3 linked regions of the Daphnia pulex genome follow. The protein of the gene in region 1 interacts with the protein of each later gene in a pairwise test. Links are inferred from orthologs where the notes say so. Each region holds a gene or a part of one and is shown on either strand. Other genes may lie near its edges. The genes, in order: epidermal growth factor receptor kinase substrate 8-like, E3 ubiquitin-protein ligase Su(dx)-like and peripheral plasma membrane protein CASK-like.

Region 1 (2,978 bases):
ACAAAAAAAGATCCGCTTTCAACTTGATGATGTCGTACCGCTGACGTACTGTGTTCAGGTTTCACCACGCCGTTTCGAGGAACAGCGGAAAGAGGATTCTAAACGAGAAATTCATCAACTGCTGGAGCACATAGTCAATAATCAAAATATGCCGCTCAAGGAGAAACGAAAGAGGCTTAAGCAGGTAGATCAACATTTCGATATTTATAGAATCGAAAATAATTAACTCCGTTGTTTTGCCATTTCTAGTTTCAAGCTGCCTATCCAGAAATTTACCGAAGCAAGTTTCCCACGGAAGCGGATATATTTAAGGAAGAGCGACATCAATTGCAGGGTCAAAAGCGTTCAAGCAACCAGTCCACCGTGTTTTCCCGGATCCGCAACCTACGTCTTACATGATTTTAATGATATTATGACGATCGTATATTTTTTTAACTATTTTTAGATTTCCCTTGCTAATTTGACTAACTTTCAATGCTGTTAACGTGTATTGTCAGTTTAAATACTGTACTATGGTATCCAAACCCATTGGGGCTTGCTCAAGGAGCTCAGTAGGCCTACTAATTTGAAATCCACATATTCAGGATGGGGATTAATCAAAAATATTTCATTTGATATGAATATTCTTAATAAGCATAATACTGGAAATACATTTGTCCGTCTATTTCTAAAATTTAAGATTGCTTCATCAATTTTAACAACTTTGATCCATGTAATTATATAGTACTAAATATTCGATGAATTTCGTACAGTAAAGATAATATAGTAAAGCATAATTCTCAAGGAAACTTATTATACTCTGTTAGAAATATTTAAAAAAAATAATCTAGGTTTTCTAGTCGTCGTTGCTACTAGTGCTTTGCATCTTCTTTTTCTGTTTGCGAATAATGTCACGTAGCGTCCCGGTTGGGATGACGATGTCGTCATCGGAATCATAGTCTGCATATTTCAAAAGAAGAAAGTTCGTGAAAATGTATGGATTATTTGGCCGCTTAAATTTTCATTTCACAAATGGAATAAAATTTATTACCGCTGTCTAAGTTCAGGGGTGCTTTGGCTTTGGTTTGTTTCTTCGGTGCTTTCTGGACCGTCGGAGAGGAGTCACGATCATTCTTGTTGTGCGATCCACCTGTTTCAGAGGAGCGCGATCGTTCCTCTTCTTTTTTGGTAGGATTCTTTGGTTGATCGTTCTTGGTTTCTGTTTTCATTCGGGCTCTCTTTAATGCTTCTTGAAGTTCAGATGAACGCATTGTTTGATACTAAAAAATAAAATAACAAAATTTCATTATCGTTGCAACAAAGGTTAATTAATGGGAAACTAATGAAAAACTGTAAATACCCCTGATGCTCTGCGCTGAAGAGTTAACTGTGAATCCAGTCGATGACCTTCTTCTTTGCCACAGTACTTTTCCAAATCTGCCTTTTTCAGCTTAAACAACTCTTCACCGCTCATGCCATTCAAACGCTTCTGAATCCTATTTTTTAAATGTGTGTTTTAAAACATGGCTTAGATTTCTAATGTTTTGTTGGATAATGTCTATCATATTGAATGAATTACGTACACAATATCGAATTCCTTGGCTTTGAGCCAATCGCGAACTTCGTCGGGAGTTGATTTGAGTGTAATGTACATTTCGGGAGTTTTACGAATATCCAATTTATTTTTTTCCGGTTGGTAAATGTCTAATAGGTTCTTCAGTTCTTCGACCATCATGTCTTGACTGCTGAGGCCTGGAGAAGAATAAATCAGTTTCAACATTTTCTCTTTTTAAATATTTAACAAGATATTAGCATTTTTTAATACTTCTTGTCATAGGTTTCGGTTTAATGGCTTCCTCCTTTTTGATTGGTTTTTTTATGATTTCAACCTCCTTGGGCGGTAGAGGTGGAGGTGGTGGCGGAATAGAAATCACCGACTCGGCTCTACGTCTCTGTCGGCGGCTCTTGGCCGGCAGGCCGTCACTGTCCTCGCTGTAGCTATCGCTGGTGTCAGCACCTTTCATCAAATAGCCATCTCGTAATTAGGAAAACGATCGTAGGTCTGAGGGTGCATATTTCCATCCTTTCATCCGTCTGAGTTACATCTGACCACCATCGACACGGCAACTTTGTGGCCAATTAAGATCCGAAACCAACTTTCAGCCAAAACGCTAACAGCTAAACTTTCAGACATTCTACTCCTAACAATTTTGGCTACTTAACTAACTGCGATGCTTGCTGCCTACTTTCCCTTTTTGTTTTTTGAGAAAAGAGAAAGCCACGTCTGGGGTTAGAATTATTCATCACATGTAAGACGTATCATGGATGTATAGGCAGCGGCACTTTGCAGTTGGTCACAGCTGGACCGTGGCGAAGTGGCTGTGAAATACACGTACGAGTTCGTCTTTTGGCTGCCATATCTTTACGTAAATAATCAAAAGGAGCGTCGCTGATAATTCACGCGAGACTCGAAACTCCGTCAATGTACGACGTAGAAAGTGCGAGAGGATTACCGAAGCGGGAAGGAGAGAGAGAGAGCGGCGGGCAGCGGTTACACGTAGCGCATGGACAAACAGACGCAAAAGACATATATACGCACGCTGACGGGCACACAAACGTATAATATGAATAATATGGACGGTATATTTTCCATCACGAGAACAGCATTCAACATTTTTCTTTTTTTACGGTCAGCCTCGTCAACCACACACTCAGCACAACGGCACAAATTTCGTTGGGCGTCATCAACCGAGAGACACACATAAACGATTAGCACCTATATAGCAAGTATTCGTACACAAGTCAAATGTAAATGGTGGAGAAAAAAAAATCGTAAAGATACAAAACTCTAAGAGAGAGGAGAAGAATGGAGATTATGCAAGGGTCATCGACCGTCTTTGGGAGTGTCCTCAATCAAGCGTAATAAAAATTCAAAATATGGGAAAACAAACAAATTGGATGTTGAGACTCTACTATGTAAAGGGAATGCACATAAGAAC
Region 2 (4,412 bases), on another chromosome or scaffold:
TTTACCTAGCCACTCCTCCGTAATCAAGGCCCTCCTCGCCGCGGAAAATGACGTACAGCCGCCTGCGGAGCTCGTAGGCGGGCAAGCGCATAATCTGATGGTGCGAATCTTCAAAGAGCGTCGACCGGTTGAGAGTGATCTTGATGTGTGATGGTAAGGCATTACTCTGACACAGATAGCGGAATTGAGATAGCTTCCAGCGGAATGAGCGCTCGTAAGCGATGGGAACGCCATAGGCACCTTTCGGACTGCGTCCAGCGCAATGAGGAAAAAAAAAACACAAGCAATTAACACACACAAAGCAATAAAAGCACTTTCAAGTAGCGGGCGAGCTGGATAGAACACGTTGTGGCAGTAATGATGGACAACATAATCATACCCTTTAGTTGCGCCTGGTCTAGGATCTTGGAAGGTGGTCGTCCGGGTATTGTGATCCACAAAATAATGAACACCATCGTCCGTGATTCGCATTTCCCAGCCGGGAGGCAAAGGATCTTCTTGGTTCATCCTGAAATGAATCAGAGAAAGAAAGAAATGAGATATAGATTGATTGAGGGATTTCGATGAATTGACAAGTGAGAGACACACCCCTGGGTTCTCGGATCCTCCCACTGTGTGGTGCGATTCTTGTGGTTGACAAAGTAGACCCTGCCATTAGGCTCGACACGTTTCTCCCAGCCTTCTGGCAAAGGTCCAAGCGGATCGCTCTCTTCCGTACCCGTCACCACCGCCGTTCCGGTGCTGACTCCTCCACCCTAGTTAGGAAAAAAACAACAACAACATCAATGCAAGTGACGTCACGATTAGCTCAATGATCAATGAATCAACTACCTGTGGAAATAGGAATCTCTGGCTGCACTGTTGAACAACATGCGCTCGCTGGCCTTGCCACTGTTCGTAATGTTGCAGACGTTCAACATTCGGTCTTTGCCATGTCGTCCTGGTTAATTTACAAATACGAATTAATTTAATTGAAAAAGTTGAAACCATTAAATAAACTTACGATCGAGTGTTGTGATCCACGTAGTAGGCTCGACCACGAGGGTCTCTTCTCATCTCCCATCCGGCCGGAAGAGGCTGCGGGCGCTCCCACGTCGTACTCCGCGTGTTATGATCGACGTAGTAGCGCCGGTTGTATTTATCGAAACGGACTTCCCATCTAATGAAGACAAAATAACGTCAGTTACATTTCAAATGGATGTGATACAACAACAGCATCAACTCACCCTGGCGGAAGAGGTTCTTCGGGGCCAGGTGGAGCAGCCGGAGGTGCTGTCGTGGCTGGGGTAGTTTCAGTCCTCGGAGCCGGTGCTGCCACTGTCCCGTTGGGAGTCCTGGACGGCGTCTGCTGCGGTGTTCCGTTGGGTGTCCTGGATGGAACACCAGTTACTACTGCTGGAATGGGGGCGGCTTCAACATCATTCGATCGGGTACGAGGACGAGCTCCGCCACCATTTTCGCCCGTGGTCAAATTCGTGACAGGAGCTACTGCTGCACCGTTCGTCCGGATCTCAGCGGTTGAGCTGGATTCACCTGTTTCTCCGTTCACTCTGATGATTAAAAAAATGGGAGCACACAGATTTATAATGATGAATCGCTCGCTTCCATTTGAACGCTGCACATTATTACCTCGTTGCGCTTCGACTACTGCCTGTCAACAATTTTGGATCTACCCTCATTCCGTCCATCACAATAAAAATTTCTCCAATCTTCACTTTAGAGCTGCGACCGTTAGCTGCTTCTGTCGTTGATGCAATGCTAGTATTCTTTATTTCTCCCTATTGATGCCAGAAATATTGAATAATTTTGTTTGTTTTGTGTTTTTCTAGTAATCAAGTATGAGGCTTACCTTAACATCCAGAACAAGACTGGTTTTATCAAATTTCCCTTGTTCTCGTACTAGTTGTTTTTGGATATCTATTCTGCCTTCTCCTAGAACCAAATCTCGCTTGAAAGTTGAATGACTGTAGAGCCTCAGTAGACATTTTGAATTGATTTTCACAAGACTAGAAAAATAAATAAGATAAGACACTTGCAAATGTGCTGAATCATAGCAACTGTACATACACAGTAAAGGATTCACAAGACCAAGTGGGATCATGTGTGTTCTTCACAGCCTCAGTTTTCCAAACCACTTTCCCATCAACCAAGATTTCAACATATGGTGAAGGCTTTTTTGTTATGCAAACTGGGTCAACAGTGGCCTTTAGAACTATATTGCATAAATCAGATTAGAACTTTTCCAATGTAAAGATTAAATATCAATTGCATTGAACCTGAGAGATTTAGTTGATGAAAGTGGGAGTCATTGTTGTTCCTAGAGCTTGCGCTATTGGAACTGGTTACAACAGCTGCAACAGTTTCAGCCATTTCATGGAGGTCAGACCTTGGACGTTGCTGTAGTTCAGAACTACACCAGATACTAAACTGATCTGGTGTTTTCAATACTATCAAAGCCCATAATCAGAACAGGAACCTGTAAAAAATTTAAGAGATAAGATGAGTACTGATTTTTGACGTCATCACTGATAAAGATTTTGCTATGCAAACCACTAACCTGCATCCACACTGCTACATGGAACATGAATGATGTTTCGGTGTTGAAATTAATTTATAATCTTTATAACAACCAGGCTTTAGGACTTTAGAAAAATGTCACTGTGAAGTGAAAACAGCAAAAAAATACACCTACAGGGCTCAGTTGAGTATTAGCGCGAAAGTAAAATTATCTCTTTAAAATGTCAATAAACCGAAATACAAGCAGGCAGTATAAAGATTAGAAACTCTGGTGGTATTTCCCGTTGAACGAGATAAAATTATAGCTGCAATTATAGCAAACACACAAAACACAAGTACAAGACTACAAGTCTTTGCAATAAGTCACCATTTTTTCTTGGCTTAAAACACTGTTGCCAATTTCTTCTCTTAGTGTTTTCTTCAAAGTTGTAAATATTGCCAACAGATGGATTGTATTTTTGTCTGCTAGAAAGAAAAAAAAAATAACAACAGTGCAAAATTTGCCAAAAGTCTACGATGGTCTTTGAATGTCAAAAATCACCGTACAAGAAAGAGGTTCAATAAATTTTCCTTTTTGGTATTTGTATTTTCTTATCCTATTAATGATCAGTATGGTGTTTCGTAGTTTACGAGCAAAGTCGTCTCTTGTTCGCCGTGTCAGATCGAGAGGCTCGTCCAGGGGAAAAAGGAGAAAGTACAAGCATTTGAAGTCTTATTGGAAGATACCGTTTTTTTTCCTGAAGGTGGAGGCCAGGTAATTTTTACGTTAAATTACACATCCTCATATAGAATTGGTTTTAAAAATTCAAATGTCAAAAGCCTGATGACAGAGGCTTCTTGAACGGAATCCCTGTCTTTCAAGTCAAAAGAAGAGGGAAGGATGCCATCCATTTTTTACAAGACAGCCTGGATGTTGGGACTCTAGCTACAGGTGTCATTGATTGGGAGAGAAGGTGGGATCATATGCAGCAACACTCTGGGCAGCATCTAATCACTGCAATTGCTGATGCTTCATTTGGTTTCAAAACAACATCTTGGTGGCTTGGGGAATCTGTTTCCCATATTGAATTAGGTAAATTTTTCCTTCTTAACTTTGTGTTCAGAATTTTCTGTAGCATCATTGATTGACACTTAATATTAAATTACAAGATACTGTAAATCTGACTGATGCCCAACTAAAAACCATTGAAAGCCAAGTGAATGAGAAAATCAGGGAAGCTGTCTCTGTGGAAGTAAAAGTATACGAAGGAGATGCGATACCCGACCAAGTAAGAATTTTACTTTAATTGACATTAAAGTTAAATTAAAGAAAACCATATTGGGTTCGTAGGTCCGTTCTAGAGGTCTTCCCGATGACCACGTTGGTCCTGTTCGCGTCGTAACTATTTTAGGTGTAGACAGCAACATGTGTTGTGGAACTCACGTTTCCAACCTTAGTCATTTACAGGTATTGTACGCAGTTTACTACCCCCAATAGTACAAGCAATAATTAACCATCGATTAAAATACTTCATTTAGTTCATAAAGCTGCTTTATGCTGAAAAGGGTAAAAAAAATAAGACCAACCTCTTCTTTATAAGTGGAAATCGAGTGCTAGATTACATCAATCGTTCACTTGACAGGGAGCGCCAGTTGACTAAAATTCTGAAGTATGAAATGCTTAAAATAATTGTTGAAATGACAAGTGATTAACTCATTTGCTCGTTTCAGAAACGGACCTGAAGATCATGTCGATTTAGCTAATAAATTACAAGCCTCAGTAAAGTTATCACAAAAGGTAAAACAACTTTTGAACTTCTCCGTATCCTAATCGACTGTAGATTAATTTAAAAATTTTCTTTTCTTTTAAGACTTTGCAAACTTTGATGAAAGAATTAGCTGTCAATCAGGCAGAG
Region 3 (4,168 bases), about 6.7 Mb from region 1:
TTGAAGGGATACTAGAAAACCATTTTAGTACGCGTGAAATGCAGTATGCTGATAATCCGTAAAAAGGAATTCGATCAATTAGCGGGCACACTTCTATTTTAAAATAAACCCAACTTTAAGCTTTCACGTGTTAAAGTTTTATTTACTTGGTATCAAAGTAATAAAAAGTAAATTTCCTGCAATGTGCTCTCCTTTCATTCGGCAGGCATCCAACAAGAGGTGCCAATCAATGAAATCCAATCAGGACGAAAGCCATCCCCCAATAAAAGAGCGGATGTGATCCCCCCGTCCGTCAATGAAAGCCTTTTTTACTAGCGGAATCCTCTTCAATGGAGTAAACCAGCCACAACTCTTAAACCGCAAATGGAAACCGGAGACGACTACCATATGGGATTCCCCCGGTTGGAAATAAAAGCGACTCAATATGGTTCGGAAAGAAATTTACGAGCGATAAATTTAGCATTTCGTTTGAACAAAAACTCAACTATTATCCAAGGTTGGAAAGAATTGGATTTTTGCGTATTACGGCACCGATTTATCGAGGAACACGTATTGCAAGTTAAAATTAAAAATAAGTTATCAAGATTGGTCGTGCAAATCTATGAAGAGAAATAAATCTAAATAAAGCTAGCTGAAGTTCACGGTATCCGGTTTCCACAAATTCTCTTGTTCCTGCGAACGCCCTCTTGCTACACATCCACCAACTGACGTAATTGCTACATACAATATCCCCGCAAACATTCATGCAACTCCAAAGGGGAATCGAAAAATAATCTATTTAAAAGCCCGTAGGTCACTATTAAAATAGTGCGTGACTTACTGTTGGATATTGATTCATCTTCATCAATATCGGAAAAGGCGTCGCAGTTGGGATCTAAAGAAGGATGCCCCCATTTGATGGAATTTGCCGTGGCCACGATCAAACTCTTGAGCTTCCTACGAGCATTGAATATGCGCATCTCTTCTACGGTGAGGTGGAGGTGGTCTCTGGAGGCGCACTTGTCTCGATTCTGAATACAAATCAAGCAGTCAAAGCAGGTTTTGCATTGGTCACGTCCACAAAGGCAAGGAAAAATTCAAAATTCACCTTGAGCCACCGGTGTTCCAAAGCTTCGTGAACCGATAGACGATCGTTTTGGTCGACGCACAAAAGCTGCTGCAGTAAATCCTTTGCGTGGTCACTAATGGCTCCCCAGACTGGAGCATCGAACTGCAAAATTGCCCAGGAAAAATGCGGACAAATTTAGAAGGATCTAGGCTAGAAGGCCTTGAAATAAATTTACGATGTCCACTTACGTGCAGCTCGCCACTGCAGATGGTGTATCTCAAGGATTCGTCTGTCCCCAAAAAAGGTTGTGTTCCAGACAGCAGAATATGGAGCAATACTCCTGCACTCCATATGTCCGACGCTTTGCCATGCGGTCGATTTAAAGCCATTTCAGGGCTAATATAGAAGCTATCTCCCAATCGACCTATACAAAATTAATACTTGAACTAATACTGTACATTGAATGGGAAAACATAACATCAACAATCAGACCTGATGTCACCACATCTTCGTCAGTAAGACGCTTAGCGCATCCGAAACCCGCTAGTTTTACGGGCGCCGAATTTTCTTTATTTGCAAGCAAAATGTTGTGAGGTCGTAAATCTCGATGGATAATGTCGTGATCATGGCAGTAACGGAGTGCCTCAAGCACTTGACGAAAATAATGGCTAAACAAACCAACCAAAGGTTAATGTAATTCCAACTTACGTTTAAGAAGGTAAATTAGGTTACCTTGCTACAGCTTCACTATAAACAAAACCAGATGTGGCACGTTTAACAATTTCTATACACAAATCAGCTCCTTCCATCCTAATTTTTTTAAAAATAATAGATTCAGTCAATCATTACCCATATGTACAAGCAGGAGTGTAAAAACTTACAATTCATACACCATGTACACCATTCCTTCAGAACTGTAGGTTTCTAATAACTCTACTATGTGGGGGTGTTTAAGCATGTGGCATATGGTGGCCTCAAGTTTAAGATCTAAAAATAATTTGAAATAATTAGGGATTAGTAAAGTTAAAAATCTACATTTAAACATACTGTCAAGTGTGAGTGACGGAATGGCAGTAAATTTGGCTGCATCAACAATTTTAACAGCAAAATGTTGTGCTGTTAACCGGTGGGTGCAGCGCCTAATAACACTGCATGAACCCCTGAAATTTAATTTAATGACAAAAAATTATTGGGAAAATGATAAAGTTTAATGATGATGTTTACCTCCAAATAACTTCTTGTAACTCGTAAGCTTCATCAAACAAAATATCATCTTCAGTCATTTTGAAGCTTGTAGAACACTGTTGAGAAAGAATTCAAATTCAGGTTAGTAAGAAATAGAAAGGAAGTGCTGTCATTCTTATTGTGTGGGTGCATTAATTGAGTTCAACCAACCATTTCCTGATCTATCAGGTTCACTTTCAGCCTAAGAAGGAAATGGCAACTAAACACCCTTCTATAGAAAAGTAACCTTAAAGAATAAACATATCTAAAAGAATTTGATTGCAGGTTTACTAAACATTCCCCTCCCCTTTCCCTTGCCATAATAATATTTCCACTAGCATGCTGTTTCCTGTGAGTGCTGCCAAAAAACGCCCATCCCCTTCTCCGGTACGAATATGAGAATTCAAACGACGATGATTTTGATTCTTGATAGTAGATAGGTACTTACATTAGCAATTTGGTCCAAAACAGAAAAATTTCACCAAACAAACGCAACTAATAAATGTACAACAAGTCTTTAAGCCATTCTTGGACGAAGCGTCTTGCCTTGCCCATTACACACAGAGCAGACATTACTTCGATCTTTTCCCTGGATCCCAGCCTAGGCTATCCGCAGCGCCTCTAGTGTCATTCTAAGGAAATCCCTGCGTACTATTTTATTCCTGAAGATCACTATGTTATTGTATTTTTGTGTCTCGGAAAAGCGCTTGATTATTATCGAATTAGACAATTACGTTGGGATTTCAGTTAAAAAGCAATCGTGAGTTGATCTTCTTGGAGAAATGAGCAACTTTTCTCCTAGAGAACAGTTTAGTTCTTCTGTGTTTTTTCATTTTTTCTTTTGAAAATTTAAATGTGAGCCACCATTTTGCGCCGATTAAAGGTCGTGGTCAGAACAAGCTTCGTTAACCTTCCTCCTTTTCGTTAAACCGTGGAAAAAGTGAAGTTGAGCTTTTGTTGTCCTAAAAGAATTGGCGGTTTATTACGATTAACTCACTAAGCGTGTCAATAACGACTTGTCATAACAAGTGCGATAGTTTTTTAAGGTAAATTTTAAAATGCTTACCCGAGGTAAAATTCCTAATGTTTCGGACGGAGCAAACTGTCAAGATAGTGAGGACAAAGAGGATGATGATGAAGAAACTATGAACGATGACAATTCTTCTGAAAAAGATTCCTCTTCGAGCAAAGATGAGCAGAGTGAGTGTAAAGTACCCTTTCGGCCCCTTTCAGCTCTTCAAATGAAGCGAACTCCTTCAGCAGATCGTGCCAACATGTCACCAGTTTTGGTAAGAAAACATTTTCAATAGGCATAGTAGTGTTTTTTTCAATAATTTTTTCTGCTTCCAGACTGGTCAGCGTTCATCAAGATCTAATTCTAGAAGAGGCCAGTTTGTCAACGAAATTTCTTCAGAGGATACTCCATTGTCAAAACGTCAAGTGATGAAAAGTGGAGGAGGCAAGAGAAAGAGGCTAGTCTTGGTCGAACCAGAAGAAACTTCACAGGAAGCAGAAGCAAAGCTCAACAGTGCAGAAGAAAGTCACGATGAAGAAGTAAACAGTACAAACCAAAGAAAGATTTCTGTTGCAGAAAGTGAAACTGAGAAGCATGATGAAAGTCATGATGGTGTTCGCAGGAGCCAGAGAGCAAAAAGACAAATGTACACTTACAACGACAGTTGGATATTTGCTGAAAAAAATGTCAAGGTTAGTGTTATGAATTTTTCTCATGACTAGAGTTATAAGATTTACACTTGCTGAATTTTTAGGGATATCCTGCTGCAATCAAAGAAGAAGACACAGCAGCAGAAGGAAATGACCGAATGCATACTAGACGTCTACGTAATCTCGTCCCAAAACGTCAAGAAGAAGTAGATCAAGACATTGAGGACGAGG

Evidence for each region.
Region 2: the proteins of epidermal growth factor receptor kinase substrate 8-like (region 1) and E3 ubiquitin-protein ligase Su(dx)-like interact in a two-hybrid assay, tested with the Caenorhabditis elegans proteins (2 studies listed by BioGRID). The link is inferred for Daphnia pulex from reciprocal best matches to the Caenorhabditis elegans genes eps-8 and wwp-1.
Region 3: the proteins of epidermal growth factor receptor kinase substrate 8-like (region 1) and peripheral plasma membrane protein CASK-like interact in a two-hybrid assay, tested with the Caenorhabditis elegans proteins (4 studies listed by BioGRID). The link is inferred for Daphnia pulex from reciprocal best matches to the Caenorhabditis elegans genes eps-8 and lin-2.

The regions. Positions count from the first base shown.
Region 1 is NC_060018.1:7,750,299-7,753,276, reverse strand, and holds the end of epidermal growth factor receptor kinase substrate 8-like, read right to left. Parts: intron 1,997-2,978; coding exon 1,805-1,996; intron 1,732-1,804; coding exon 1,563-1,731; intron 1,476-1,562; coding exon 1,340-1,475; intron 1,260-1,339; coding exon 1,031-1,259; intron 940-1,030; coding exon 836-939; 3' UTR 649-835; downstream 1-648. Other genes in the region: DEP domain-containing protein 1B-like, read left to right, coding at 11-184, 250-399.
Region 2 is NC_060026.1:2,733,854-2,738,265, reverse strand, and holds the start of E3 ubiquitin-protein ligase Su(dx)-like, read right to left. Parts: upstream 2,910-4,412; 5' UTR 2,558-2,909; intron 2,477-2,557; 5' UTR 2,371-2,476; coding exon 2,277-2,370; intron 2,213-2,276; coding exon 2,068-2,212; intron 2,007-2,067; coding exon 1,850-2,006; intron 1,779-1,849; coding exon 1,630-1,778; intron 1,551-1,629; coding exon 1,227-1,550; intron 1,160-1,226; coding exon 1,004-1,159; intron 941-1,003; coding exon 832-940; intron 756-831; coding exon 589-755; intron 509-588; coding exon 380-508; intron 249-379; coding exon 6-248; intron 1-5. Other genes in the region: alanyl-tRNA editing protein Aarsd1-B-like, read left to right, coding at 3,034-3,072, 3,143-3,271, 3,337-3,589, 3,667-3,785, 3,848-3,964, 4,036-4,166, 4,228-4,294, 4,368-4,412. UniProt on the Caenorhabditis elegans protein: E3 ubiquitin-protein ligase which accepts ubiquitin from an E2 ubiquitin-conjugating enzyme in the form of a thioester and then directly transfers the ubiquitin to targeted substrates. Ubiquitinates klf-1.
Region 3 is NC_060018.1:1,069,534-1,073,701, reverse strand, and holds the start of peripheral plasma membrane protein CASK-like, read right to left. Parts: upstream 2,866-4,168; 5' UTR 2,721-2,865; intron 2,350-2,720; 5' UTR 2,332-2,349; coding exon 2,273-2,331; intron 2,209-2,272; coding exon 2,096-2,208; intron 2,036-2,095; coding exon 1,930-2,035; intron 1,859-1,929; coding exon 1,781-1,858; intron 1,717-1,780; coding exon 1,541-1,716; intron 1,473-1,540; coding exon 1,297-1,472; intron 1,211-1,296; coding exon 1,088-1,210; intron 1,011-1,087; coding exon 821-1,010; intron 1-820. Other genes in the region: ATPase family AAA domain-containing protein 2-like, read left to right, coding at 3,331-3,561, 3,623-3,979, 4,042-4,168. UniProt on the Caenorhabditis elegans protein: May play a structural role in the induction of the vulva. May be required for the localization of signal transduction molecules (such as let-23 receptor) to either the basal membrane domain or the cell junctions.